2 linked regions of the Mytilus edulis genome follow. The protein of the gene in region 1 purifies or fractionates together with the protein of each later gene. This does not show direct contact. Links are inferred from orthologs where the notes say so. Each region holds a gene or a part of one and is shown in the gene's direction. Other genes may lie near its edges. The genes, in order: transmembrane protein 192-like and lysosomal aspartic protease-like.

Evidence for each region.
Region 2: the proteins of transmembrane protein 192-like (region 1) and lysosomal aspartic protease-like purify together in Homo sapiens (affinity purification with western blotting; 3 studies listed by BioGRID, with this or other methods). This does not show direct contact. The link is inferred for Mytilus edulis from reciprocal best matches to the Homo sapiens genes TMEM192 and CTSD.

The regions. Positions count from the first base shown.
Region 1 is NC_092348.1:90,364,725-90,380,485, forward strand, and holds the start of transmembrane protein 192-like, read left to right. Parts: upstream 1-7,945; 5' UTR 7,946-8,047; coding exon 8,048-8,083; intron 8,084-9,888; coding exon 9,889-10,035; intron 10,036-12,377; coding exon 12,378-12,648; intron 12,649-13,425; coding exon 13,426-13,554; intron 13,555-14,394; coding exon 14,395-14,500; intron 14,501-15,731; coding exon 15,732-15,758; intron 15,759-15,761. Other genes in the region: deubiquitinase OTUD6B-like, read right to left, coding at 3,556-3,866, 4,633-4,996, 5,748-5,966.
Region 2 is NC_092350.1:72,005,620-72,021,881, reverse strand, and holds the start of lysosomal aspartic protease-like, read left to right. Parts: upstream 1-7,917; 5' UTR 7,918-8,247; coding exon 8,248-8,309; intron 8,310-9,005; coding exon 9,006-9,141; intron 9,142-9,730; coding exon 9,731-9,854; intron 9,855-10,821; coding exon 10,822-10,940; intron 10,941-11,411; coding exon 11,412-11,611; intron 11,612-12,355; coding exon 12,356-12,478; intron 12,479-14,090; coding exon 14,091-14,238; intron 14,239-14,632; coding exon 14,633-14,731; intron 14,732-15,475; coding exon of another isoform or gene 15,476-15,649; exon of another isoform or gene 15,650-16,262. UniProt on the Homo sapiens protein: Acid protease active in intracellular protein breakdown. Plays a role in APP processing following cleavage and activation by ADAM30 which leads to APP degradation.

The DNA.
Region 1 (15,761 bases):
TTTTAAATTTGGTTTTAATGGCAGCCCATATCTCGTTTTTAAATATAAGCAATTTAGGGTTTGAAATATAATAACACTATTCTTTTTGTTATCTTTTTTGTGTATATATTACGGTCGATGTTATTTCAGAACCTCCATCATTCGAAATTCAAGAGAACCATCAATTATTGAGAACCTCTTGAATACCGGTGTATAGAGGACCTTAATGGTTCGTTTTCATGGTATCCAGAGGTATTTTAGGACCTACACAATTTGATTCCATGACCCCGGCTCAATAATTTGATTGGAATTTATCCTAAAATGTACTGAAATCGAATTGTGGCGGTCCTAATACATTTCAGAAGGTCTCACTAATTTGTAAATATCCTGAATTCGAAATATGCAGGTCAAGAAATATTTCTTCTCTTGTCTACTTCAGGGAAATCAGTCAAAATATGCACGTTTAAAACGTTTGATAACGACTAGTATACCATTTTGTATCCCAACTCTTTCAGATCTGCTAGACAAGCATCCACCAACTTCACTTCTTGACCCTTCATTCATTCTGCCTCTTTTAAGTTTTTTGTGTTTCTTGGGATGAAACAGGACAGTAAAGGATGTTCAGCCACTGACAAGAAAGTTATAAAATGCCTTTGGTTGCTAATGTTTGTTAACTCTTAATTATTTCCGCATATTCCAATAATATCATAGTGTGATTCTTATCTTTTAATTGTAACAAAGTTTTCCTTATTTTGTATTTTCTTCCTAAATTAAACCTGCCAGTTTTATATCTTTCATAAAATGGTGACACCAAAGATATGTTTTGACATAATTCTTCATTCTCATAGTCTTAAAATGGATCCACAAGTTATTGTCTGGTAACTCTAAGAAACATGTCTTCCCTTTGTAGGGCAAATACTTCCAAACGAAATCCCAGCCTTCCCTTTGGGATATGGCTCTTTGTGGTACAATTTCAGAGAGATCCATACACTTACACACAAGTTATGGTCCAAAAACTGCAAAAAGGTTTGTTTTTGGACCCTGATTCCTGAACTATTGGTACCACCCCCAAAATCACCTTAACCTTCCTTATGTCATAATAATAATAATGTGGAATTGGTAAAATTTCATAGCGATCCATTCAATTACACTAAAGTTATTGTCTGGAAACCAAACGTTTCATCAGATGGCTACATGATTGGATTATACGAACGCAAATTTTTTGTGGTAGTATAAAAAAAAACTCAAGACCATTTACAAGTAAAATACAGAAAAATGAAAATAAATATATTTCAAAATTTCTCTTTGTATTCTGTATTTTGGTTATTAATATCAAGTTTCTGTCAAAATTTCATAAAATTCCATGAAGGTTTGACAGCGTTAATGTTATTGGTACCTAATACTTGAAAATCCACAATTCCATGAAGGTTTGACAGCATTAATGTTATTGATACTTATACTTGAAAATCCACAGACTGAACCTAAATGATTTAATATGATATGAAATAAATGGGGAATGTGTTCATGAAACACAGATGATTCCCCCACTTGCACATAATGTTATATAAGGACATAACTGAAGAACAGTTAAAGTGATGCTATCCAAATTTGTACTTAATCTAAGTTTTGTGGCAACAAGCATTGTGTCACAGGTTTTATAACATTTGGTAGATGCAAACTTAATTTAAGAACAGAAACAAAAAACCTCAGCAATTTGTCTATATATGTAAAGGGACATAACTCTGGAACAATAATAGTGACACCATTAAATTTTTTACTTGATCTAGTAATATGCATTGAGTAAAACTTTCATAACATTTGGTTAAGGCAGATTAAGTTAAGAGAATGGAAATGAAAAAATCAGCAATTTTTCCATTTATAAAAGGGCATAACTCTAGAACGGTAAAAGTGATGCCATCAAAATTCAAACTTGATCTATGTTTTGTGGTAATAAGCATAAGTTTAATAACATTTAATTGAGGCAAACTATAGTCATGGAACAGTAACCAATTTTAATATGAACAGACATATGGACGAATGTACATTGGTAAAATTTAATGCCCCTCTGCTACTGTGGGGGCATAAAAATATTAATAACAAGCATTCTGTGAGTATTGCAAGGCAATACATAGTCCCCTACCGGTTAAAATTTCATTGTAATGGAACAAAATTCTAACTTGATCTATAACTTGTCATTGTGTAAACTACATAAAATAACAAACAAACCTACAACTGTATCTGTATTAGCCTGGTATCCCAGCACAATATCTAGCTGCTCGTAGTAAGGCTGACAAGATTAGCCAGGACCCAAGACTATATCTGTATGACATGTGAATAAATTGTCGATACTGATACTGGCTTTAATACAAAGGTTTGAGATATCGTTGTTTTCCAAAAATTAAAAATCTGGAAAACTGATTTGCAGGACTGACTGACAGACAGAGTGCAAACCGAAAGTCCCCTTGGACTCATCGGTAGGGGACTATTTAGTATCAGAAGTGCATTGTTTTAAAACTATCATTTTTATGGAATAAATGGTTTTGATATGTTTTAATATGATATTAAATAAATGGGGAATGTGTCCACTAATAGCTTGCTGTTTCGGTGTGAGCCTAGGCTCCGTGTTGAAGACTGTATCTAGACCTTTAATAGTTCATTTTTATAAATTGTGACTTAGATGGAGAGTTGTCTCATTGGCACTCATACCACATCTATTATGATATTTGAATTCAGATGAATTGTAATGTAAAACACAAATGTGATGTAACTCTTAGCTTCTGATAAGTCAAATAGCTAGGTGCCTTTGACTTATACAGGTCTCACTGTATTCAAGGAATTACAACTACCTCCAAAAAAATTATGAAGTCTAGTGATAATTAAATAATAAATATCCTGTTTATTGTTTTGTGATATTTTGAAATTTGCTTTTAATTGTATCTAGATAACTTTAAAATGCAACATCAATTATATCAATGTATCAAAAAGACATATACTAAGTATGACAACTGTAGAAAATACAACATTGTACAATGCATTCTATATTTCAAAAATTAGCACACACAAATCACAATAATACTGTTAAAATATTTTACTCAGCAATTTCAGTTTTACAGCTCTACCATACATGTATACTCCATATTTTTATAAATGTCTTGTATAGTGAGACATGCAGTGAATATTTTAATGTCTTTTAATAGCCAAACATTAACTTAATTTAATTGATTAAGATATATAGATTTGTACTCAGTTATGTAGAATAGAAAAAACATGCATCATATTTTTTATATCTAGTTGCACACCAGTAAACACATTTTACTCTGAAACTACCATAATTTTGAACACAACAGTTTTAATTAAAACACTGATTTCAATGTTAGTTTCAGTCTTTCAATCTATTTTTAAACTTATCTGCTGTCATAAATTGAAAATTAACAACCTTAAAAGATTTTTTGTACATTGTGTTAATTTTTTTCAGATGATGTTAAGACCAAAATGACTGTTTAATATTAAAATTCATTTTTGAATGGCCTTCTGATTATTCTGAATAATATTTTATATACCTAAATAAAATTATTATCATGAAAATGCCTCTTCATCAGGTACATAAGTTTCAACTGAATTATAATGTTCACCTAGTCCAAATGCATGTCTATGATAGCAAACTGTTAAAGATTCTGAATCATATTCTTCTCCTATTTTGATTTGTGGGCCTTCGCCTTGAATTATTTCTATAGGATGATGTAATGTACTTGACATAGCCTTGACCTCTAATTGACCTCCCCATTCAGCTGTCTCAGCAGTTTTCAGTAGAAATGTTTCAAAGTCTTCGTCATTGTAAGAATCACCATTTTCCTTGGTAAGAAATGGTAGGAATTCATCTGGATTGTCTGTAATTAGATCAAGCATCTTAATCTTTATATATCAACTTTTATTAATTTTGTGTTTTCATTAAGATAATGGAGAATGTGTCCCATACTCTGCTTATATATTATGTTATAAAGGCACATTATTCAAGAAAGGTGTTGGTAAAAGTGACACAACCCAATTTTGAACTTGATCTGTGTTTTGTGGTCTTAAGCATTGTGTATAAGTTTCATAACATTTGGTTAACATGGTTAATGTTTAAAACTTTAAACTGAAATTAATTTGGGACAAACAGACAGATGAACAGGATAACACTGAATGTCCTTCTGCTGAGGTGAGGCATACAAAGTCTTAAATATATCCCTATAAGTCAATTAAATTAGTTCAAATAGACACTAAGTAATGGTTCTATATATAAATACATGTACAAGATCAACATATAACAATTGAATTATACACTGAATAACTGTAATGTAAAGCATTTAATTTCAGCAGATTCATGATTGATGTGTAATTACCTTTTTGTTTTTAATTTTTTTATCAATGAAGTGCAAAAAATTAGTCATCTATGACTATGACATTTTATGCATTAACAGTACATGTATATAATGTATAAACTTTTTAGTTATGTATTGCTATACATCTGTACATGTCTACATTTAAATAGGTGCAAGCATCTTTTAATTATTTTTTTATGGGAGTGACAGTACTGGGACCCCAGAATGTTTCCTTGAAACATCTTTGAAATGTGCCTTGTGTATCTTGAATGTTGTGGAAATAAATACATACCTCTCATATACTGTGCTGTCTTCCTTCTGAGTGTTTCATATGTCTCATGTGGAACTTGATGACTAATGGCAGTATATAAACAATTTCCATCAGATGGTATCTCAAATATTTGCAAATTTTTAGTTTTTAATATTGATTTGATTTTTTCAAATTCTATATGTCTTGCACCAGTTAAATTTAGCAGTTCCTGTTCTTTAATTCTTTCCTCTCTCTCCTTATTTTTTGTTGCTTGTTTCTCTCGTCTTTTCATAGCCTTTGATACTTTCTTTTCTTTTGAGTCCTCTCTGGTTTCTACATCACCACCAGCAGCCTCACTGTCACCCATGTTATCATTTGTTTCCAGAGAACTAAGTCTGTCTGTTACCTTAAATATATGCATTCAATCATGGTTGAATATATAACAGTAAATGTCAATGAAGATGACTATCGTAAGGTACATGTTATACAAATTTCAACTAAAATAAAATGTCTTGTAAGTCAGAAATTCAAAGTTAACTGGTTTTTTTTTAATCTATTAAAAGGACTATGGAGAATTTCATTCTTCAAACATTAAAGTATAATTGGTTGATTTGTTATTGCTTATAATATTGTAAATCAATTACAGCTTCTGCTGTATATACAAATGTACTTTGGAAAAATCTGCATAAATGACTAGGATTTTGACATTAACAATAACAATTGTGTTCAGTGTATTAGCATTTACTTTTTCTTTTTCAACATAAAATTAAGTAAACGTACATATATATATACAAATGTATTTTTTGAAAGAATAAGTGTCAGCGTTTGAATGAGTATGTACAGAATAAGTATGTACAGCTTTTCAGAGTGCTCATGGTAGTTTGGCATGTTGATTTGAAAATGTTGGATAAGATAACAAGCAATGTCTATGAAATAAAGTCTGTCATTTGAATATAATACCTACTCCAGTTACATGTATATTCAGTTGCAATATTCAAGGATCACATACTAGCATCAAGCTATTGAATTCACCTTCCAGTCTGTTAAAAATAAGATAAGAATAAACTTCCAATGATAAAACTACAAATGTACCAACCAAATGCCAAAAAGGAGAAGATATTTGATTAAATTGATTTATTCTTAAATTAATTTGTCACCTCCTGGTTTGTTTTGTCTTTGAATTCTTTAAGTTCTGTTTCATGTTTTTCTGTCAGTTCTTTTTCTAACTTTGTTATCTGTTCTGCAATTTCCTTTTTCTTCTTTTTATCTCCCTTTGACACACTATGCTTTAACTGTTGTATTTTAGCCTGCAATTCCTTCTTTTCTTTTTTATGTCTCTTCACCACTGAGTCCTCTTCATTTTCAGAGTCACTCATTTTCTTTCCTATCTATATAGCCTGAAATGTATTATAATATAAAATAAGGTAAATATATGAGTGAGTACAGACTAAATATTGGCAAACACATCCAGGATAAAAGGGTCTAGTGAAAACATGTCATTTTCGCAAATGTACGGTTCCCCATATCCAACATACACAATAATAACAACTAAGAACTGGACCATATTATACATGTATATGTTCCAGACCATATGAGTATTTGGACCGTACGCGTACGGCGTACGGTCCGGACCATATACGTATACTTGTACGGTCGGACTGTATGAGTATACGCGTATGGTCCAGTATTAGCTGACCATACATGTTATTGGATAATATGGGTTACATTTATCACAATCTTTATTTTTAGTTTTACAAATTGTTATTATTACATAAGATGGATAAAATGAATTACCTAACAATTTAAATTAGATATTTGTTGAATTGTATATCTGAATCTTATTTTGAAACTCTCGCCAAAGGTGACACTCGCTACCAAAACGATATTTTTCATATTTACATTTTTTCAGTTCATGCATGTTCCTTTCGATTAGCATTTTTTTGAAAAGTTGCTAAATATTCTAAAGCAATTGTCCTCCCACATTATACGCATTCAATTTCAGTGGGAATAATTGTCATAATTCAATTAGTGTATTATGTATTACTGATCTACATGCTAAATACTAGAGATTTACAGATTTAATTAGCGTGAATTTTTTAAATAGTTAAAATGTAAAGTTTTTATTTCAATTACAATTGATTTTTTTCTATTTATTTAAGAGTTAAGTTATGTTAATCTGTTATATGTATTTGTATCTAGTACAATTGACCAACTCCTTGATATTAGTCAGACCGTACGCGTACTTTTCGAAAAAGTACGCATACGGTCCAGACCGTACGCGTACGGTCCAAATATTCATACGGTCTGGAACATATATACATACCGTTTTTTTTTTTTACAAATTCACTGCATTTTCACATACTCAAACTTTCAACAATTAGCAAAATAAACCACAAATGAAACTTCAATTTCAAACTCACTCGACCTGTATAAATTTAAAAGATTAAAAGAGGTCATCCTTGGAAATTAAAAAACAAGAAGTCATTCGCCTCAACATTGCTCAACACCTTCAAACTTTTTCACAAAGGATTATTATCAATGGAAGAGTCAACTGATTCCCGAAACTGAACATTATTATGTTCTTGTAATATCTGCTAACATCATCATAAACATCTTTTAAAATCTTTTATTATTGGGAAGAGTTGGCAAATCTTAATTCAGTGGGATAACAGACCTTTATTCATAGGGATCTATCTGAGACCTTTTCATGTAAAGCATCCATCCATCAACATCATGAGTAGGGCAGATTGGCAGGCCAAAATTTAGGTTCTTTTTAGCATTTTTAGTCCCCTACTGAAAAAGTTGAAGGAGAATTTAGGTTTGCTATCTGTCTGTCCCTCTGTCTATTTGTCAGTCTGCCAAATCAGTTTTCAACTTTATTTCCTCATGATGCTTGAAGATATACATTTTATATTTGGTGTATTATTTTATCATGACAAGTTTAAAAAGATCAAGTTAGAATTTTGTTCCAATGCACTGGATTTTTATCTGGTATGGGGACTATGTATTGGCTAACTTGCTATCAATACGCACAGAATGCTTATTCAATTGTAGGAGGAGTTGGTAGAATGTGGGCCGAGTAAGTAGAAAGAGGGGCGAGTTTGTCTCCAGTGTTATTTTTAAAAGGGACGAGTTGGTATGGGGCGACTGTTCTTTCAAAAGGGCTACACATATCTCTGACCTGTAGTCAAGCCTCTTTGAATGAAAACGGTTAATAGAATACCTACACTGACAATAAAAAATAGAAATATGCCGTAATTATCAAGTAGTTCAGGCTTTGTGAACTGACAGAAAAAGCTATGCGAAATCGCAAAAGTGTGTCCCAGTGACCGGAAGTGAAATCTTTTTCGATGGAGGGGAGAATGGTCTAGCGATTTTTATTTTATTTTGGATAAATATTAATGAAATCTTTTACTGGATTTTGCGACGTGACAGTTAAAACTTTCCTGATGAAATAATGGTCAGCTTATCTAACGAATCGAGACACACAGGGGTATGACTTTCACTGCAGTCTGCACTCTCATTCGTCAATTATGACATTTTAAAAAAATTTGATCAGTTGACAGTTGACTGGCATTATAAGCATAAGGCCAAGGAATTGTACACAATAATACGGAAGTAGATTCGTTTTATGTATCAAGGTTCAGCCGTAATGTAAAAAAAGTACTGGGTGCACATGTTTATGAACTTAAGGTTTATGTGTACCATTTGCCTAAAATTACCGTATTTTCTCAAGATTTACTCTGAGTTAACAGACTGACACTACAGACAAAACTGTGCATCTGGAAACGTTTTAAGGCATAGCATGCTCTAGATAAATAGAATTCAAATGCATTGTATGATTTAGAAAATTCATAAATTAACCGGATTTTGCCTTGCACTTTTTTTCGTCCCTGCAGAAGATGATAAAATTAACTAACAGTTGAGTTTCCCTTGATATGGTCCACCCAGGTACACAGTTTAAATCACCAATTATTATCAGGTATCTATTGTTCGTGTCAATCAATACAGCTCACCCCAATTATTACATGTGGGGAAGTTCTCAAACCTGTTTCCCAACTTAGTTTATTTTGGCACTTTCTGGAGGAATGAAAAAAAAGTGCACTGCAAAATCCTGGTAAGTTTTTATTTTTCTAAAACATTAAACATATTTGAAATTTATTTATCTGGGGCATGCTATGACTTAAAATTTTTACAGAATCAGCGCAGGTTTGTCTGTAATCAGAGTAAATTTTGAGGTGAACATGGTGAAAATACGGCCATTTTAGCCAAAGGGTCCACATGTACATGAACCTTAAAGTAGAGTTGTGGTGTAAACAGGTGTCATAGATGAAAAGTCATCACACAACATCCCTGTGGTACAAGTATCAAATTGACAACACATTCGCATCCTACATATGTTCACTCACTACACATTAGATCTTGGGTTGGTTCAGACCCTCTTTTTATACAAATACAGAATTAACATGACTAATTAGTTATATAAACATGTTTAATAGACAAAAACATCACATGTAGGCTTAGTATAATGTATTCCGACGTCCAACAGCTGTTTTGCCAGACAAGCTCTGACGTCCCACGGCCCCAGCTTGACTGGCAAAACAGCCATTGGAGTCAGAGTAATCTCAGACTAAGTATTGTATAATGCAGACCAAATCCCTACTTTAAAGACAACTTGGAGGAGTATAAAGACAACACAGATCAAATTAAAAGCTACTTGGACCAGTTTGTCAGTCAATTAAAGTTCAAGAATTTGAGCATTTTTAATTTGAAATCTACCTTGCTGTCCACAAAAGTTTAAACGGTTGAACAATTCCTTATTGGAGTTAAAATGCCCTCAATTGTCGATTCTACCATTTTTTTTTTTTCATTTTTTCTGATTATTTTGAAAACTAAAAAACATGTGTGTAAAAGATTAAGAAATTTTAACCAAACTGAATGTTGTGATTCACCTGTTGTCCATTTACATCAAAAACTTTTTTAGAGGAGTTATTGCCCTTACAAGTTACATGTAAGTGTAAAAGATCTTACAAATATCATTATACAAAACAGATGCATTTACCATTTCTACTATATCTACAATTATATAAACATAAGTTTTAACCCTAAATGAAATATATAACTAAAAATGTACTGAAAGTTTTTATTAATAATATAGCTTCATGATTGTTGATTAGTACATGTATGACCAATTGAGCATCTGACTGGTCTATGATTAAAGCAGCTATATCTGGTGGCAGAAATAATACTGTCAATGCAAATACATGTACTTAAAAATGCGATCATTGTTTATTACAGGGCTATTTTTTCAATGAGGATGGATCAGGACAGAACAAAGATACAGAAGACTTACTATCAGAAAGTCCTGCTTTAAGTGCTGAATTGGATCCCCCTTTTAGAAAAATTCACATAGTTTGGGCTATTGTAGTGGAAATACTACTCTTTGTAAGTTTCAACTTTAAATATTCAGCAATTGAACAAAAGAGTTTTCCCCCAAATTTTTCAATGGTTCATTTCCTGATCAATACTTTTGTATTTTGTGCAGACATGGTTTTATTGATATGGAAAATTTCTTATGTCAACTTTTTAAAACTGTTGATTTGTTTTATACACAAAGTTTTGTCTTCCCTTTTACTTACTTGTAGATGACCTAGTTTGTCAGCACTACTTTTTATACGACCGCAAATTTTGAAAAAATTTTCGTCGTATATTGCTATCACGTTGGCGTCTGCGTCGTCGTCCGGCGTCCGAATACTTTTAGTTTTCGCACTCTAACTTTAGTAAAAGTGAATGGAAATCTATGAAATTTTAACACAAGGTTTATGACCACAAAAGGAAGGTTGGTATTGATTTTGGGAGTTTTGGTCCCAACATTTTAGGAATTAGGGGCCAAAAAGGGCCCAAATAAGCATTTTCTTGGTTTTCGCACTATAACTTTAGTTTAAGTTAATAGAAATCTATGAAATTTTGACACAAGGTTTATGACCACAAAAGAACGGTTGGGATTGATTTTGGGAGTTTTGGTCTCAACAGTTTAGGAATTAGGGGCCAAAAAAGGGCCCAAATAAGCATTATTCTTGGTTTTCGCACAATAACATTAGTTTAAGTAAATAGAAATCAATGAAATTTAAACACAATGTTAATGACTACAAAAGGAAGGTTGGTATTGATTTTGGGAGTTTAGGTCCCAACAGTTTAGGAATTAGGGGCCAAAAAGGGACCCAAATAAGCATTTTTCTTGGTTTTCGCACCATAACGTTAGTATAAGTAAATAGAAATCTATGAAATTTAAACACAAGGTCTATGACCATAAAAGAAAGGTTGGGTTTGATTTTGGGAGTTTTGGTCCCAACATAATAAGGGGCCCAAAGGGTCCAAAATTAAACTTTTGTTTGATTTCATCAAAATTGAATAATTGGGGTTCTTTGATATGCTGAATCTAACTGTCATGACTGTGTATGTAGATTCTTAACTTTTGGTCCCGTTTTCAAATTGGTCTACATTAAGGTCCAAAGGGTCCAAAATTAAACTTAGTTTGATTTTGACAAAAAATGAATCAGTTAGGTTCTTTGATATGCTGAATCTAAAAATGTACTTAGATTCTTGATTATTGGCCCAGTTTTCAAGTTGGTCCAAATCGGGGTCCAAAATTAAACTTTGTTTGATTTCATCAAAAATTGAATAAATGGGGTTCTTTGATATTCCAAATCTAATTGTGTATGTAGATTCTTCATTTTTGGTCCTGTTTTCAAATTGGTCTACACTAAAGTCCAAAGGGTCCAAAATTAAACTTAGTCTGATTTTAACAAAAATTGAAATCTTGAAGTTCTTTGATATGCTGAATCCAAAAATGTACTTAGATTTTTTATTATGGGCCCAGTTTTCAAGTTGGTCCAAATCAGGATCTAAAATTATTATATTAAGTATTGTGTAATAGCAAGTCTTTTCAATTGCACAGTATTGCGCAATGGCAAGAAATATCTAATTGCACAATATTGTGAAATATCAAATTTTTTTTAATTAGAGTTATCTTTCTTTGTCCAGAATAGTAAGCAAGAAATATCTAATTGCAAAATATTGTGCAATAGCAAGATTTTTTTTTAATTGGAGTTATCTTTCTTTGTCCAGAATCAACTTAAATCTTTGTTATATACAATATACAATGTATATTCACTTTTTACTACCAACTGATAAATTAAAATAATCTTTACCATTCAGTGATAACAAGCAGTTTTTTTACATCTTAATATTTTATGATGTATTTAAATGAGTAGTTATTGTTGCAAACTCCATTAGAAATTTTAATTGAGATTAGTTTTGGAATAAGGGAAAGGGGGATGTGATTAAAAAAATTGGGTTCAATTTTTCTCATTTGAAATTTCATAAATAAAAAAGAAAATTTCTTCAAACATTTTTTTGAGAGGATTAATATTCAACAGCATAGTGAATTGCTCTAAGAGAAACAAAAATTTTAAGTTCATTAGAACACATTCATTCTGTGTCAGAAACCTATGCTGTGTCAACTATTTAATCACAATCCAAATTTAGAGCTGAATCCAGCTTGAATGTTGTGTCCATACTTGCCCTAACCGTTCAGGGTTCAACCTCTGCGGTCGTATAAAGCTACGCCCTGCGGAGCATCTGGTTGTAACTTGAAGTGGGTTTTTTTGTTGGAAAATTCTAAGTATATAGCATTTGATCCTTCATTTTACAAATTGTTATTTAAATTCTTGGACAGCCATTTTCCTCTTTTTTTTCTATATTTTTACTTTTTATTTATTTTTCAGACTGGTCTGGTCATAGCTACCTTTGTGCTACCACATATAGCAGTATTACAACCTGATAGAAATGCTACAAAACATGAGGGTAAACATTTAGGATCACATATTGATGAAATATCCGTAGCCTGTTATGTCCATGGAGGACTCTGGTTTGTCCTGCTTGGGTTTGATCGATATTTGAGATACCACCATTACAGACACAGAATGTGTGGATATCTGGAATTTTATCGAAGAACGAGACATTTACGTAAAATACCTTTGCTAGCAAATTCAGCAGGTGAGTGAAATTATTTTGTTAGGATATTGTAGTGGATATCCTAAGAGAAAAAAAAATTGGTGCATGGATTCATCAATGGAAATTTAAATTGTGTACAGTGAATTCATAATTATTCTGATACCAATTTTTTGTGGATTTTGTGGGTACAAGTGAACCACGAAATTAAATGTTCAAGAAATAAAAAAAAAATTATATGCTTGTATGTAGATTTGGCAAAACCACGAAATCAAATGTCCATGAAACATGCAAGTTTTCCTTAATCCATGAAAATAAATGAATTCGCAGTACACTATGTATTTGTTATTATTATATTCCATAAAAATAAAAAGATGTGGTATGATTGCTAATAAGGCAACTATCCACAATACTTCAAATTACAAATGTACATGGATGTGAGTGATAATAGGTCCCTGTACAGCAGTCACCAATGAGAGAAAATCCATATGTCAGCTATTAAAGGCCATGGCATGAACAAACAAGAAAACTAATTTAACACAAGTCAATTTATTAAAATCAAACATAGACCAATATGGACCAACAACAAAATGCATTTATTGGTAGGAAGCACCAAGATATCCTAGAATCCTATAAATTTCCTTAAATCACAAATAGTAACCTAGTTGTCATTAACGTTTATTCTATGGGACATACATTTAATTATTTTGATTCTGTACATGTTCTGTCTTGATGGAGTAACTTTGAGTCTGTTTTTGTCTGAGACAAAGTCAGTTATTTTTAATCTATTATATTATATTACTATTGATTGATATTTAACAGGTAATGCTGCCTTGTTAGTAGTTCTGAAGATTTTACAAGATTTGAATGGAACCCACACCGATCTATATATAGAAATAGTGATTGCCTTGGAGGCTGTGCTAGCTGTGTCAGTGCTGATGATTTATCTTGGTAAATGTTATCAACAATATTCATAAACATTTTAAATTTTGTCAAAAATAATGTCTGGAAAAATCTGTTTTAAACTTGGTTTAAATTTGTTTGTTTTTTATTGCAACATAATTTGATTAAGTTCTTTATCATTTTTATTATCTTTTCAAAATGTACACTAACAAAAATACATTGCAAGAAAAATTCAAAGTCCATCAACAAATGTCAAAATCAAAAGCTCAAACTCATCAAAAGAAAAGAAAGCAACTGTCATATTAACATGATATAATTTGCAGGCATTGAGTTATGTTCAAAATCCAACATGCCTCAATACTGACTCATTTGAATAGGTATCAAACTACTAATTAAAATTTGTTAAATTAAAAGCTTAATTTGTATTTCTTATACCATGTATACTTGACCTTTTCGTTACAATTTTTTGTTACATTTGTAGAAGAGTTGATAGAGATTAAGGGGAGATAATTCTTAACATGAGAATGATAATGTGGAGATAATCTATCATTTTTTAATAGAAAACTTTGAAAAGATTGAAGACTATTGAGATACCATTGCATTATACATTTGTAATTTGCACCCCCTCTCTTTATCCTGATTTGAGCCCCCTCTCTTTTAAAAATGACTGAATCCACCTCTGCATCTTAATGTGCTAGAATACAAAATATATCCAACAGATTAAGAAAGTAGTGAGACCTATAATGTACATTGTAGTTGTGAAAAGTGCATTTTAGTAAATATTTCATTAATTTTTTTTCAGTAGAAACAGTAAAGTTCAATAGTTTACTGATGTCATCTGATATTGCCCAAGATGAAATAATCTCTAGTTTCATTCATTTTTTTCAGTAAAAACCGTAAAGTTTAATAGTTTATTGATGTCCCCAGATGTCGCTCAAGATGAAATGATCTCTAGTTTCATGCAGAACAGTGGTACTTCAGAGATTGGTTTTAGGTAAAGTATTTATGACATAGTTTTACAATTAGACAATAGAACTTGATATTGATAGTCCTGGTTATAAATCACATTTCCTGAAATTTAGGAGCCCCCCCACCCCTCCCCTTTTATGGAGTTTCATATAGTTATAGGATAAATACATAGACACATCCACACGTGCATATTGCCTGTTGGCAAACATTTAGAGTGAATACTTAAGAGGATATACAGTTCTAAGATATATGTAGGTCCATTTCAGCGCTACTGTGTATGCTGGTCCATACAGCTAGTTGCTACCAGGTGCCCATACTTGACTGGTCCTACTGAAATTATTGTCTAAAGACATTATATCAACAACTTGGTTATTTCATACTATTTGACTGAAATATTACAAGTCTATATTATGTCAAATGGAAGATTGGTCGATTGTTTTTTGCTTAATGTCCTGAAATAGAAGCAATCTGTCACATGTTTTGCTGAATATTTATTTTTTCAAATTCACCACAGTAATATTTGGATGCATTGACTTTTTTTTATATATGTATGAAAGCAATTTTAGCAGACGTTTTATATTTATGACCCTTTTTCAAATTTCCTAAGTTTATATGTTTTTTCTTCTATAACATGCACCAGTATCCTGCATTTTATACTTCACTTTATTTATTGCTTTTACTTTTGTCATCAGTCCTTTCTTTGCTGTACATATTTTTGGCTTTTTGCTCTTCCCTTAAAAGGATCCACATTGTGGAAATTTTTCATATTTTGCATGAATAATGTTTGCAAAATTTGTTTTGGGATGAAACCATAATTGCTTTGAGCTAAATATTGATCCTTTTAGTCAAATTTCAATTTTTACCATAAAAATAAACTCCCTAATTTATATTAAGACTCTTGGTGAAGAATTCTCATTTTATGATTACTGAAAAGTTACCTAAAATGTATCCATTCCCGCTAAGCTTATAGGGTATTTAACATTACTTTCTTTGAAAAAGCCTTTCTGTCTTTATACAATTGACAGGCATGACAGGAGAAATAAACATAATATTTTTTTTGCACAGCTCTTTAACAAGGAATGAAGCATGTATATACTCTTTAATGCTAACCTGTCAACTTTAATTTTAACCAATAACAGAATGGTAATGTTGAAGCCCTCACAATTCTAAAATAAACCATAAGTTCATACAAGTTAGGCTTTAATTTTGTACATATATTCACTTGTTGTAATTTTTGCATTATGTATGGTTTGCAGTTTTGGATGTAATGATATTGGATTTAAGTG
Region 2 (16,262 bases), on another chromosome or scaffold:
GGTTCTGGTATTTCACATCCAATATCTTATGCGTGGTAATATTCTTTACAAAGCACAAAAATGTCGGCATACACCTCAAAAGCCAACCAAACCCTAAAATAGACTTATTCGGAAAGGATATAGTTACGATACTGTTGTCAGGTCATTAAGGATTGCATATTTTGGTATTAATATTGATTCACTCATATTGTTTTTGCATCGGAAATAAACACATTTATTCTAAAACCAGTCAACTGTAATTGGCATGATACGGGTTATGTTCTTCTCATATATTTTATGATGGTATGATACTTAACCCCTAACGGGAGGGATTTTACTTGATTTTCATATGATGAAGACATAATCTTTCAATCAGTTTAATTGAGGTCTACAGGTGGCATGTCAGTAACTGCTACAAGTCCTTTGTTAATTTATGTATCATTGTCATTTTGCTTGGTTTCTTGTGTTGTCTATTCTGACATCGCACTCGGACTACCTTTAAACTGAGTTTTACTGTACGTATTGCTATGTGTTTCTTTAATCTACATTGGATATATATATATAGAGGTATAGGGGGAGGGTTGAAATCTCAAAAAATATGTTTAACCCCGCCGCATTTTCCAGTTGCGCCTGTCTCAATCCAAGAGCCTCTGGTCTTTGTTAATAAGGGCATACGATACAGTTACAGGGGAGGTAATGACGTTGCTAACGTAAAATGTTATTTTCGCGACGTCAAACTATGACATATCGGGAAAAGATGCATTTTTCGACTGATTTTTATCATTCAAACTGATTTAATTTGAAAACGAGTGCATGGACCCCTTTTTTTTAAACGGTAATTTGTTTCATTTTGCAAGGAGATTATGTGACCCAAATTTTATAAAACTGTAAATAGCGCAATTTTTTCAATTTTGATAAACATGCAGCAAAAAATGACGTTTTTTCCCCTGTTCATTAACATTTGATAAATATGAGTTATTTTTGAATAAAAATTGCATAATTTTTAATGATAATTATAAAATACAGAAATTACCGATTATTTAACAAAAAACAATTTGTGTTTATCTTTTAAAACAAAAAAGTTATGTCTCTCTTTCGAAAAAGAAAATACGGCCATAAATCTGAATTTTGAGCAAATATACAAAATTTCGACCTCATTTTACTCAAAAAGTAGCACATGAAGGTATATTTTTTATTACATATTTGATTTAATCAGGTAAGAAATAGCCGATATGCAAATTTTCATCAACTTGTAAATACAGGTTCAAAACTGTATCGTATGCCCTTAAGTCTTGTATGTTTTTTTTTTTAAATTTTAGTTCATTTATATGTTTTGGAGTTTATTGTGACGTCCATTTTCACTAAACTAGAACACAATTTTATTTAGGGGCTAGCTTCGGGTGCGGGATTTTCTCGCTGCGTTGAAGACCCATTGGTTGCCTTCGGCTGTTGTCTGCTCTTTGGTCGGGTTGTTGTCTCTTTGACATATTCCCCATTTCCATTCTCAATCTTATCTAATATCTTGAGGGGCGGATGCAGGATTTTCAAAGGCATATGGGTTTACTAGTAAATTGGAAATACATCAGACTTCGTTTACATGGGACATGTCTTCAGAATGAATAAAGATGAACAATATGGGAAAAGGGGGGGGGGGAGTTAAAGATTGAAAAGTTAAACTTTTTTGTTTGTTTTGTTTACTAAATGCACAATAAATTTATGTACATCTCTTTTCGGTTAATCTTCCTCTTGGCATATTCATTTAACGAGTTAAAAGTACATCAAACGGAACTAAAACTGTAGAAGATGTGAGTTATACGTCAATTAGACAGCAATCAAACGACAAAAAAAACACCTAATAGATATAGGAAGATGTGGTATGAGTGCCCAAGAGACAACTCTCAATCCAAGTCATAATTATAAAAGTAAACCATTATAGGTCAAGGTACGGTCTTCAACACGTAGCCTTGGCTCACACCGAACAGCAAGCTATAAAGTGCCCCAAGTGTAAAACCATTCAAACGGGAAAACCAACGGTCTAATCTATATAAAAAACGAGAAACGAGAAACACTTATGAACCACATAAGCATATCTATAGAGGGCAACATATAGTGTTCAACAATAGACAGGTGTATATATAAACTTAATCCAATATGTTGGTTTTAAAGCTCACTCAGAGCTTATGTTGTAGTATCCTGTTTTTTTTTCTTTAGATTTTGCATCTGTTGAAAAGATAAACTTTTCTAAAACTATTTGAGGATGTACCTACTAGGTGGATTTTTTTTAAATCTACAATTTAAAATTGATACACTAAGTCAAAAGAGCATTAGTAGGGAATCAGAATGTATGATTATTACCCGTGGTTATACACGCCGACACCCGGCTAACCGAGAGATTGGTAGGTTAATCTATATTGAGTATGCGACTATATGGGCGGTTGGTCTGTTAATCGGGTTTGTTATACGTATATATAAAAGTATATCTTTGAAGTTCTTTTATTGACAAAAATCTATATTACATAAAGACAAATATGCCAGTTAGAAAAAGGTTTATATTCGAACAACGAGAATTAACGGCAGTTAGAAGAGGTCATGAAAGTTTTACGATTTCCTATGTATCTTATCAGTCCTCATGAAAATCGTGCTTTAATGTTATTAAGTTTGTTTGTTTTTTTTGATTTTCAACTAAATTTTGAATATCCAACCGACTGCTAGTCATTTTTGCTAGTAGCCGGTTGGATATTGAATATCGAATATCGAATAACGAACCGGCTGCTAACTTCACATACATGATAAATACGCAGACATAAACGAGTGCAAAAGTAACATTCCTTATCGTTTGTTATAAATACTCTTTAATGAATACTGATAAAAATATTTTTGTTTATAACATAAATCAATAATATGAAAACATCATTGATAATATCTTGTGCACACGTACCGAAAAATTGTGTGAACTTGGTCGCATGTGGAAGAATACCTCAAGAACATTTTGCGGCAATCCCACAACAATCGGTAACTCTGCATGGAAGTTTGTCTTTGAGGGGAAATATGAATGCCTACGCATATCCAATCTTTTAGAAATCGAATTTTTACAGAAGAGTGTCCACCATGCACTTTCAATGCACTTTTATAAGAATAGTAGAATAAAATGATGTACCAATGGATGAAAATTATATATATATATATGTTACTGTTATATTAATATAATATATGTCACCAAACCAGTGTATACTGATGTGTATCACTTCAATATAATAGTCTTAAGTTGAGGTTGAATTTCCTGTCATTCATTCATCATCCACGCACGAATTTGTCTCAGAAAAAATATATATCTGTACATTAACCTCAGTTTCAGGTATAGAGATACATTTTATAGATTTTTTTTTCTTAGACATGTGCTTTTGACCATCCACAAGAACTTGCGGTCATCCGATGTTCAGTATTTCAGTACTTTGATTAGTATTTTGAAAAGTCTAATGGAAGTCTAGTATGAAGATTTGAGCTGAAACTTTAACGAATTACAAACTTTCTAGGAATCATTATGTTTCTGTTCTTTTCAATGAAATTTTATTGGTAGCTGTAGATCAGATTAAGCGTTTTGTGAGTTAAAACATATAAATCTCTGAGTACATTTGCATGTGATTAAAAACACTTTACTTTTGTAGAGTATATTTTTTTGTATCGAAAATAAATACATAGTACACAGTACGGACACTATAAGTAAGCAGTCAATATGAAAATAAGGAGATGTAGTATGAGTGCCAATGGATTAACTCTCCACCAAATTAAAGTTTAAATAAAATGAGTGTATAATGAATTAGACAACAATTTGTTGTTTTAAATAAGAGAGTGCGGAACAATAACGAAGTAGTTGATAAGGATTGGAGTCGAAAGCATTTGTTTCAAGCGGGGTTCATCGAGTTTACAACCTCAGTGTCGACAACCTAGTGATTACTGTAGGTATACTTCATAGATCGCTCGGCAAACCAGGCCTCGGAAATTATTTAACTGATTGAAAAAATATATGCCATTGGTATAATTGCCGATGAGACAATTCCATCTCTAAAAGAGAATTTAACAACTATCATAGATCACCGTCCTTCAAAAATGAGCAAAATCGATACGTCACAAAAAGCTTTAAAAGGCCCCAAATAAAAAAAATGTTTAAAACAATTCAAACGAGAAAAGTAACGCGGCCTGATGTATAGAGAATAATACATGAAAAAATCCGTATCATATGTCGTATCATCCCGAGACACCAATATCAGCCCAAGGGCCTTTAGGCCCGAGGGATCATATTGGTCGAGGGTGATACGGCATGTGATACGGATTTTGCCATGTTTTATACGCTTTATCATATATTTCAACAGGAGAGTATTATATTATATAATCTGTTTTCTGATCCATAGCACTGGGTTACCTTCCGTTCTACTTTTGTCTTGTTTTAAAAAGCCTCAAAAGAACTGCTCAATTACTTATCCGAAGCACCTGGGTAACCTGGGTAACCTTACAGTTTGCGTGCTGTTGTTTTAAAAATATTTTGTTTATATTGTATTTTTTATGTGTTTTGTATATTTTATAGTTGCATTTAGTGTGCTCAAAAATATGAAAACTTGACGTAGGGGTGTGATAAAGGGTAGGAGTGTGCTAAAGGGTGGATTAAACAGCAGGCTATTTATCAAATATTTAAAACTACTGTATTTACTACTAAACATATGATAAATTTACATAACAATAAACGGGAAAATAATATGATATATAGAAACAAATGACAGCCAACAGGTTACGTGTTCCTGACTTGGACAGTCACATTCAGAATGTGGCGAAGTTAAACACTTAAAATGCTGGCGCCAAACCCTTCTCTAACAGTGTTGAAACAGTACAACACATACAATATTGTGCCAAAGTTTTCGTAACTTCATTATAAGTCAAAAACTAATCAATATTCTATTAATTAACTGATATTAATGTTATACAAGTATGATGCAAGTAATATTTAAAATTCCACTTTGGTCTCCAGAAGAGTGGTTTAAATATATATTATATTTATTGCCGTTGAGTTGCTGTCTCATTGAAATATACTCAAATCAGGTTTTAATGAAAAAATAATGTTATATTGGAAAGAGGAACGCATTTCAACGTAGATAAATCAAAAATATAATATAAATTCATGTTTGATGTATTCTCTCCGTAAAATAGATGCGTTTCAAAATGACCATAACGCAAAAATAGTGAAGTTGCCTATAATATTATATATATAGTGAACGTCAAATTAGCGATGCTGTGACATTTTTATAGACCAACATGCGACCGCTTTGTTTTGATGATTTTTGCATTGCTCTTTACCTTATAGTTTAAAATATCAAAATGTTCATTTTGCAAAGGGATTTGACATTATGCTGATGTTTTCGAAAAACTAATCTTGTTTTTACTCTTTTTGAAGGTTTTAAACTACATACCCTTAATAATAGTAGACACCCATTCAACGCATCGATATCCGATACTTATCGATAAAAATATAATTATTTTCATTTTTATTTAGAATTTATCATACTGGCTTCATATTTCTGTTCTGAAAATTATAGCACATTAATTTTCGTTGTTTTCTATGGCCAACACCGAAATTACTAACGTAAAAAGTTTGTTAAAGGTTTTGTGACAGGGGACCTTTTGGGATTCATTTACTTAGTATTTGTTTTGTTTAATGTAAAATTAAGATTGCTGTCCGAATGAATGCCGTTCAAATGTTATAGAATAGGAGGCACGTTTGATTTGTACATTAATTACGCCAAAAAAGTGATTATATACAACGAATGAGAAGAAAAAGAAAAACAGTACTTCAAGAATGCAGTTATAATGAAAAAAATAATGACTAACGAATTTACGAACTTTTAAAAATAATGTCCAAATTAGCCATCATCATCATAATACAAAGATCAAATTAATGGAACAAAATCATCTACAGATACCGTACTTTTTTTTCATTCATCAAACTGGTAAACAAATAACTACCGAGAAGAAAATTCCATGCATGGTATTGTACTGACGGGATTAAAAAAACGAATTGATGTTTTCTGTCAATGAAAAAAAATGTGTGGACTTTAACGGTGCTTTTTTGTGGACTTTAGTGTAACTTGTTATTGTGGACTTTAACGGTGTTTTCTTGTGGACTTTAGCGGAGGTCATTTTGTGGACTTTAGCGGAAAGTTTGTGGACTTTAGCGGCGTTGTGGACTTTAGCGGCAAATTGTTGTGGACTTTAGCGGTGTTGTGGATTTTAGAGGAATTGTGGACTTTAACGGTGCCACAACGGTGCAACAGTATCCTTCTAGTAAGAGCATTTTCATGTTGACTTTCTTTGCATTTTATTGAAGGGTGTGTCACTTCAATATAGCGTGATATGGATTGGGCGCTAAAATATGCATGAATTTATTATTAACGTTTTTCAATCAGTCTTAATTTTTGTGTCTGTTCAAAGTACCACGTTCTAAAATCCGACTGAAAGTGTCTTTCTAATACAACACAGGGTACATATAACGTGTTGTCGTTCTCATATGCACATGATATTTGTCACTGGACGTTAAAACCCTAATTCGTCAGCATTATCCAATTGTTTTTTTTTTCTATTACTAATCATATGTTGTTTACAAATCATTCTAAAGAAGTAAATGGAAAGGAGCGAATCTAGCTACATTTGGTTATCTTAAGTTTTAATTCATTTATCGTTTAGTTCCTTTCTACCTACATAAGTGCAAAGGAGAACTGCAGTTGTCCGCTTGTACACTTCTAGCATTTGTCATCAATTTGAGTACATCACAATCCGTTACTGGGGTGTTTCATCTCTGTATTCTTAAAAAAAAAAAAATTTCTCTCTTTTTTAGCAATGCATCACTCTCTACTGTCCTTATCTACAATTCTATATTCTGCGTTTTTATCCAGATTCTCGTGTACACCTTGAGGGTCCGGATTGGATTTTTTGTTTATTTCTGTATTCTTTAAATTGTTATGTCACTTTTCTCTACATTTTATTTATTTTACTCATTATTCTTTATATTTTAGCATCCCAAAATAGTATCCGCAATACACACTGAACTTAAGATTTAAACCAAATACATGTATGAGTAGCTTGTAGTCAGGATAATATTAAAAGATAGAACTTTATGTTTCAACTCAGCGTGCTGGTCTTTTAAAGCTGAATACATTTATACAATATAAACATATAACATACAAATTATTTTCACCTTGCTTCTCAATGCTCTTCAACTTCGTACTTTATTTGGCTTTTTTAACTTTTTTTGGATTCGAGCGTCACTGATGAGTCTTTTGTAGACAAAACGCGCGTATGGCGTATATACTAAATTTAGTCCTGGTATCTATGATGGGTTTATTTACTTGCATATGTATGTCCGTTGCAGCTAAACAATCAATTATATCTATACATTTCCAGCAAAAATATTTAGAAAAATAAAATATAAACAACTGAAAATGAAATCAAGTGAGAGGACATTTGCCACATCTCAGCAAGGTCCGCAGTGACTGTCTTTCCAACTCGTCCAGAAAGCGATCTTTTCATTGGTGAACAAAACTATTAGCAAATTGAATTAAGGATATACTAAAATCAATTAAGTGTATACTAAAATCGTTATTCATGACCTTGATTCCGCGCGCCTATATTTCTGTATAAGCTGAATATTTCAGTATATGCTAAATTGATTTTAGGGTATCCTAAAATGATTTTAGTATATACTAAAATCATTTTAGTATATACTGAATTGACTTTAGGATACCCTAAAATGATTTTAGTATATGCTAAAATCATTTTAGGATATCCTAAAAATCAATTTAGGGTATGCTAAAATGTAATTTAGTATATACTGAAATCATTTTAGGATATACTAAAATCGATATTTATGACCCTGATTCCGCGCCATAGACTCAGTCAGGCTCTGAGCTGTGTGCCTCATTCAATAAAAATCCTGTGTAGCCTAGGAGTTAATAAGAGGGAACACATTTAATTATTGAACACAGGAAACTGCGTTCATTTAACATACTTCATTTTTTAATTGATATAAGACATTTGTGGGGAATGCATGGTCATACATTAGCCGAGACGTAGCTAGACTACTTATCACAGGACCGTATTGCAATCTTTGAAGCGTGACAAGGGACATGACTCAGATAACGCATCACGTGAACATTTTATCACATGATTTGGTTTTTATAAAAGTCCTTGTCAGCCGGTATCTTTTGCATTTACTGGAATCTCACCATGAAGGCATTAAATATTTGTTTGTGCATCCTTCTTGTTACCGTTTGCAGTGCATTACAGAGGTAAGATATCTCAAACTTCGTGCATACTAAAAAAATGTTGTTTTACGCACTTTTTGTTTGTTGTGTGATCATGACATCCGTAAAATTAAAAAAAGTGTAAGACACAGGACTTCCTTTGTATTAATTTTTTGCTTTGTCATGTTAGGTACTATAATTCAAATCGCATTCTGTATGGGAAATTTTGTAAAACTTGATTAACATTCGAATGGTGAAAATAGGGGGGGGGGGGGGGAGTAAAAACACAGGCACTTGAACTCCACTTGTTTCTGTCAATGTGGAGTTTACTATCCACATGGGCACTTGTTTCTGTTAATGGGGACATGTGGATAGTAAACTCCACATTGACAGAAACAAGTGTCTGTGAGTAAAAAATATGAACTTATAAAATAAAGTCTATAGATAAAGTTTAGCACAAGTGTAGTTAGTGACGATGAACCATATATATAGAGGAGAAAACTGATCTCTTGCGTTTGGAAACACTTAGGTAGACTTGGGTAAGTTTCTAACAAAAAGGGTCTGATTGGGGATGAATAAATATTTCTATTGCGCTACCGTAATAAAGTAAAAAAAACAAAAATAATGAACTGCAAGGAAAATTCAGAAAGTCCTTTATAAAGTGGTTTTGATTCCTAAGCTCAAACACATCTCACAAAAGGAAAACAACTGCAATATTCCTACATCAACTCTTATTTTCAGAATCAAATTGCAGAAGTTTAAGACAGTGAGAAGAACTTTAGCAGAAGTTGGCACATCCATAAAAGCTTTAGAATGGAGATATGGCTCAGATCAAATCAGAGGGCCATCTCCTGAACCCCTGGTAGACTATATGGATGTGAGTATTGTTTATAGTCGAAGAAGGAATTGGCATATTTATGAGCTACAGCTAGTGTAGACTGTCCTAGTCTGGAATTAACACAGAATCTGAGAATTGGGAAATTCTTAAACATCTATTGTGCATATCTTTTATAATGTTTAGACAACTTTCTGGATGGGGTTTACAGAAAAGATAATAAAAAGTGAAAAATAAAGAACTTTTAATTAGTTGATAAAATGTAGGGGGGGGGGGGGGGGTTGGAAGGCACATTATATTAATAATACATGGGTGATGGGTATCAGAGCAACTTTTCACACTATAATGCACTATAATTCTCAAATACAATTGTCTGGGTGGCTGGTGCTGACAAAAACTGCCTTCCAACACCCCCATACATTTTTTTCTGGAATAGCCCTTAGATAGGAAATGCCATTTCTTTTCTGTCATTTGACATAAGAATTGAACTTCCTATTTATTTGAAAGAAAAATTTTCTCCAGCAGTAATGAAATTTGAGCACATCCAATCTTTTTTAAAAAGGAGATAAATCTAAAGGCAATATACTAGCTATCAGCACAGTAAAACCTACATGTATATTATTGTTTTCAGGCACAATATTATGGTCCAATCACAATAGGAACACCACCTCAGACATTTAATGTTGTATTTGATACTGGATCATCTAACTTGTGGGTACCATCAAAGAAATGTCATGTCACCGATATCGCTTGTCGTAAGTACATGTATAGTGAAGTTAAGTGAACTCAATGACTTAATGTAATATTCAATTACTTGGAATTACTTAAGGTGGTACCCAATACTTTCACTGAAATTAATTTGGCTCGTTTAATTATAAAAATTAAAATAGATATGAACCAACCGTTTTGTCAGAAAAATTACACTGGTTATATATATCAATTTGATAAACGCCAATTTTGATCATTGAGAAGGTTAATATTCCTTTTACAACACAACGTAATTAAAATGTTTAGCTGAATTTACAGAGTTATCTCCCTGTAGTGTTAGGTACCACTTTAATACATATGATTAATGTTCAAGTACTCTATCAACAATTTCAATGAAGTGTGTTATAAATATAGATTATTTATCGACTCAAGAAAGTTAAATTTAGTGGTGGAAATCTGTTTCTCTACTGATTTCTAGTTGATATGAAGTCATACTTAATCCTTTTTCAAATGCTCTGCTGCAAGATTTGTTCTTTATATATGACCTCATCAGTCATGGTAGCCTTTTTTCCTGGTATCTTAATAGGAATTTTAGAGGCAAGTAAGAACATTTGACGTCATGATCAAATTTTGGCCAATGAAGTACTTATCACTATGGCTAGATTTCAAATATGAACTTAGTACAGATGGGTCCTACTTTTGAAACGAAATGAATGATATCATTATTGGCTTTTCAAAGTCATTGATCCCTAAATTACCAAATTGTTTGAATATTATTTGGTGGATTTTTGATTTTTTTTGTATGGCTATCAACATTACATTTGGAATTGAATGACATTGAATATTTGAAGATTTAAAATCAAGATGGAATGAATAACTATCTTACTCTATACATTTCATATAACATTCACATAACATTTATAAATAGTTTAAAGATGAAAGAAACATTAATTGAATGATTGAAGTCACATTTTAATATCATGACTGAATCATACATAATATTTTCTTTTCCAGTATTGCACCAAAAATATGACAGCACAAAGTCAAGTACTTATGTCAAGAATGGAACTGCCTTTTCTATTAGATATGGAACAGGAAGTTTGACTGGTTTCCTTAGCACTGATTCAGTCACAGTAAGTATCCATATGACAAATTACTAGTAAACAAAATAATAAAATTGAGAATTGAAATGGGGAATATGTCAAAGAGAGAACAAACCTTCCTCCGCAGATGACAACTGAAGGCCTCCAAAGATTTTTGTCTTCCTTCTGTCTCAATGAACAGCATAACAGAATTTTGTGATACTATGAAATTTACTTACTTGATTTACTATTGCATTTCATTTTCCAAAGTAATTTTTGGGGTTTACATAGCCATGACATGGACTTTGTCTTATCGATAAACTACATGTACAGTACACATCTCGCAAAGTGCATAGTCAGAATGGGACACTCTTGGTGTGCATCCACTCTTAAAACAATAGATTAAATCTGATATGAAATTATATGAATTTTGGGAGTGGCATTTAAAATGTTGCTGTGTCTTCTTTTTTTGCATGAATCGATAACATTTTAAAAGAAAACTTTTTTCGCTATTCTTTATAGATTGGGAGCATCACTGTGAAAGGTCAGACTTTTGCTGAAGCAGTTACCCAACCAGGAATTACATTCGTTGCAGCTAAATTTGACGGTATTTTAGGAATGGCCTATGAGAGAATTTCCGTAGATGGTGTTACTCCAGTTTTCTATAACATGGTTAAACAGAATTTGGTGCCAGCACCAATTTTTTCATTTTACTTAGACAGGTATGAATTACATTTGCATACTGAAGCATCACTAGTTTTCAAGAGTAGAACATAGTCACCACTAAATATGATAAATATTTTTATGTATGTGAATAATTGATCTTTAAGAATTGAATTTGTGAATGTTTTGCTATTGATAATCTTTGATTCCTCTGGAAATTTGTCAATAAAAATTGAGAATGGAAATGGGGAATGTGCCAAAGAGACAACAACCCGACCATAGAAAAAAACAACAGCAGAAGGTCACTAACAGGTCTTCAATGTAGCGAGAAATCTCCATTATCAGATTGAGTCATGAGTGGCTACAAGAAAAGGTTCAATCAGGTTCACAGTTATAATAAGTATACTCTAATCCTACAAATTGACTAAATTGAGAGTGTATTTGATTGTAGATATGATTTTGGAAATTCATTAGTTTCTGAATTTACAGTATTTTTGTCTAAAAAGGTAAAGAAGCATACATGTATGGTAAACAGAAATGAAAGCACATAATATTTAACTTATAACAGAACACTATGATATATGTGAAGCAATTGGTGTGTAGGACGGTTTTAATAGCCAGACATTTAACAGATTTCTGAAATTGAAGTAATACCATTGATAATCTTCTAATATTTGTGCTGATGAGGCTTAAAGCAATCACCAGAAACTATTAAACTAAAAATAAATAGGCCTCATTATAAAAAAAAACACCATCAGATTTCCCAGTCCACTATAAACTTCTATTGTTTATAATTTTTCTAGAGATCCCACTGCAAAAGAAGGTGGAGAGTTACTCCTTGGAGGCAGTGACCCAAAGTTATACAAAGGAAACTTTACATATGTTCCAGTCACCACTCAGGCATACTGGGAATTCAAAATGGACGGGTAATCTATTTATAATGATACATGTTCTTGAAAAAAAATGAAAATGATATACTGTGTATTCTGTGTATTCATTATTGTTCCCTGGATATTAAATTTTGGTGGATTTTGTGGGTAATTGTAAACCAATGAATTTCTATAGTCTTGTATACAAATGTTGGCATAATTAAACACTCAAATATCCAAAGAATTTTTCCCAAATACATGAAAATGTGTACCCTTGAGGATGAATGAAACTGTTAAGGCCAAATAAAAATATATGTGTGGTTCCAGTAACCCTACCGTCCCTACTTTTTCGGCTTAAAAAAAAGCCCACCCTAAAGATTTTATTTTAAGCACTGTTAAAGTCAGAATGTTGCTCCCATAGACTCAATGTAAAAAAAAAACATAAAATAAAAAAAAATCCCTACCTACCTACCCTAACTTTTTTTCAGATGTAACTGGAACCACACATACTTTTTTATTTGGCCTAACTTTATTATTTTGTAATAGGGAATTTGTTTTAAAAGTTTACCTAAATCTGATTAATTATAAATCCTAATATACAGGATATTGATCAAGATGAATAAATTGATAACCCATTAAAAGTCCATTATGCTGCACTTCAGCTTTTGCCCTTGACAAAAGGTTATTACATTTGTCATTTGAAATCAAGCCATAGATTATGTATGATAGATAACAAGTAAAGATGGTTTTATCAGTGGAAAGTAGAATTACTGATGTTGTTCAAGGTCAATGCTCCAATTTTCTAATCAATCCAATTATTGACTTTTCATCCTTTATAATTATTATCTAATCAAATGTTTGTTTTACAGTCCTACAAAATTAACTTGTATTTTTGATAGGACAAAGTAGATGATATATTTGATTTTACTTATACAGTCAGCCTTGATTACACTTGAAAATAGTTCATATTCCAAAGTTTAACATCTAAAGAGTTATCCATTGTTCTATACATTTGGTTTTAATAAAAGACTTGTGGAAATATGTAAATGAGTAAAGACATAGAATTTGTTTGTTGGTGCAGAATCAAAATCATCCAATAATTGTAGTGATTTGTTATCAACAAGATTATAATATGTATACCACAGCTCCTAATTTTATAAAGGATATTCTTATTATTGTATTTAATTTTCATTTTTATGTACTAGAGCACAATGAAACTACAAATGTACCAATACTGAATATTCTTTTTGAAATCTAAAAGTATGAGTTAAACTATACTAAAATCCTTAAGAATCTCTGAAACTATGAATGCTTATAATTATTGTTGATAAAAAAACAGATTGTATTTTCATGTATTGAAACTACTAACATGACTAAAAAAAGGAAATTTTGGTATGCATTAGGCCGAAAAAACTATATATATAAGTGTTTACTGTACCCTGAACGACCCTAAGTTTTTTGCACTGAAATTGGGCAAATGAAATTAATTGATATTGTGGTTGGCAAAAAAGTTCTTTTTGTTGAACAGCTAGTGAAATGCCTAAAATAATCATCAAAAAGCATTGTTTAAAAACACATCTAACTTACAAAAACAACTACCATAGCATTGTATCTCATGCTACAGTACAGCAGTGTCTTATTTAACATTTTGATGCTTTTCTCTCTTTAGAATCATGATGAATGGAAAACAATCCGATTTCTGCTCTGGAGGATGTAAAGCTATTGCTGATACAGGTACCTCACTCTTAGCTGGACCTGTTGATGAGGTCACAAAACTCAACGAAATGATCGGAGCTAAACCATTGGCACAGGGAGAGGTAAGAGGCTATTGTCTGTTGTATTTTTTTTTTAAACAAACACAGTTTTTACAATTTTACAACATAAAGTTGAATAAAAAAAGCTTTTTTTTGGTACATGTAATGTTTATTTTGACTTTTGCAGTTAAGCTTTTTTCTACTGCAAAATTGAATATTTATGTCATATTATCAAGAAGATACAACAGTGACCTATACACTTTTTCTCTTTGTAAGGTCCTGTAAGGTGAAGCTCCCATTTGAGGTTAAGGATTTTGAATTCGATTTTTACAGTGAAAGAGACTTTTTGCTTTAAAATTCAATACCAGGGGTTTATGCTAATAATATAAGAATGGAAGAGCACCACCAATAAATAAATGTGTGAAAATGATTAAAACATTTGTTTTGTTTATTTTAGTATGTTGTTGACTGCAGCAAAATTGACAGCCTACCACCAATAAGCTTTGTTTTGGGAGGAACCACCTTTACCCTAACAGGAAAGGAATACATTCTTCAGGTAACAATTTTACATTCAATATTCCATATGAATTAAAATTATGAAGTATTGAGCATGTAAATTTATGATGTAGTATGTTCTCATTGTCATTTGTGAGGAAATATAGTTTCTGTGGATTAATTTTTGTTGGTGGGGTACCAATTTTTGTGCATTTCGTGGATATAGGTGAACCATTAATTTTATGTCCAATGAATTACCAATTTTCTATAGGCTTCTTATGTCGTTTTTTCAAAACTGTGACTTCAAATATCCATGAAAATGCAATTTTCCTAAATCCACAAATATTGGTACCCACAAAAATAAAAAAATGAATCTACAGTATGTGGTTATCGACCAAATTGATATCTGATTATAATGGTTCTGGATATTTGTGGTTGAACACAGGTGCCGACTAGATGGATACCGAAACTCCATATAAATGTCAAATATAAGTTTTCATGGATAGGAGTTAAAAAGTTTGAATTATGTTAAGTTATTGATAAACACAGAGCATACAAACAAATGCAGGATTAATTCCGTTTAGATTCTTTTTATTTCATTTTAAAGTGCAAAGTGTACAGTACCTTCCAGCACATCGTAAAAATGTTTAAATAGCACTAAATGACACTTGCTTTCCCGTGTTCACTACACTGCTGACACACAATTCAATATTACCTTAGCTTGCCTAAACACACAGGGTTTAGACAAAAACAAAATTTTGTTGAATTTGACATCTAATATGATACTTATTGTTTTGCATTTTAGCTATCAAAGTTTGGGGTTACCATTTGTATCAGCGGATTTACGCCACTTAATGTTCCACCCCCAAAAGGGCCCCTTTGGATTATAGGGGATGTTTTCATTGGTGTTTACTATACAGAATTTGATCTGGGCAGGAATAGAGTTGGGTTTGCACCATCTGTAAAGCGTCCTAAGTAAACCTGGCTTAAAATTGCTATTGTGTCATATCTTTAAAACTCAATATATCTCTTGCGTAACAGAACATGGGAGATAACTCTTCTATGACTTAAGTTGTAAAAGTGTAGGATTATGAGAATTATGAATAGTAATTGCTAAAAACATTATTTAAACTGAATATTTGGGTTTCTTTCTGTCAAGGTTAAGATTAAATCTTTCAAAGCAAACTTGTTCTGAATAATTGAATGAATTAATTGTACCCTTGAACATGACAAAAAAATTATATGACTAGATCATGGGAATGACAAATTTATAAAGCCGTTATACAAGTATTTGACATAATCATTGATATTTTTTTTTCTACAAAATTTGTAAACCAAATTCTTAAAACTTTCATATTATTGAAAGATTATATTCTTTACTCCAAATTTTTAAAACCAGATTTATAAAACTTTCATATGACACAATAGCTGAAATCCTTTTCTGTAAAAATTTATAAACTACGCATGTTTAAGTCATCTAAATGTATTTTCTAAAATCTGTGGAAATGTCTAGCCTTCTTCGTAATGTAGCTTTTATGTATATCTAAGACTGATTATAAAGAACTTACTCATATCATTAAGCAATCATCCCT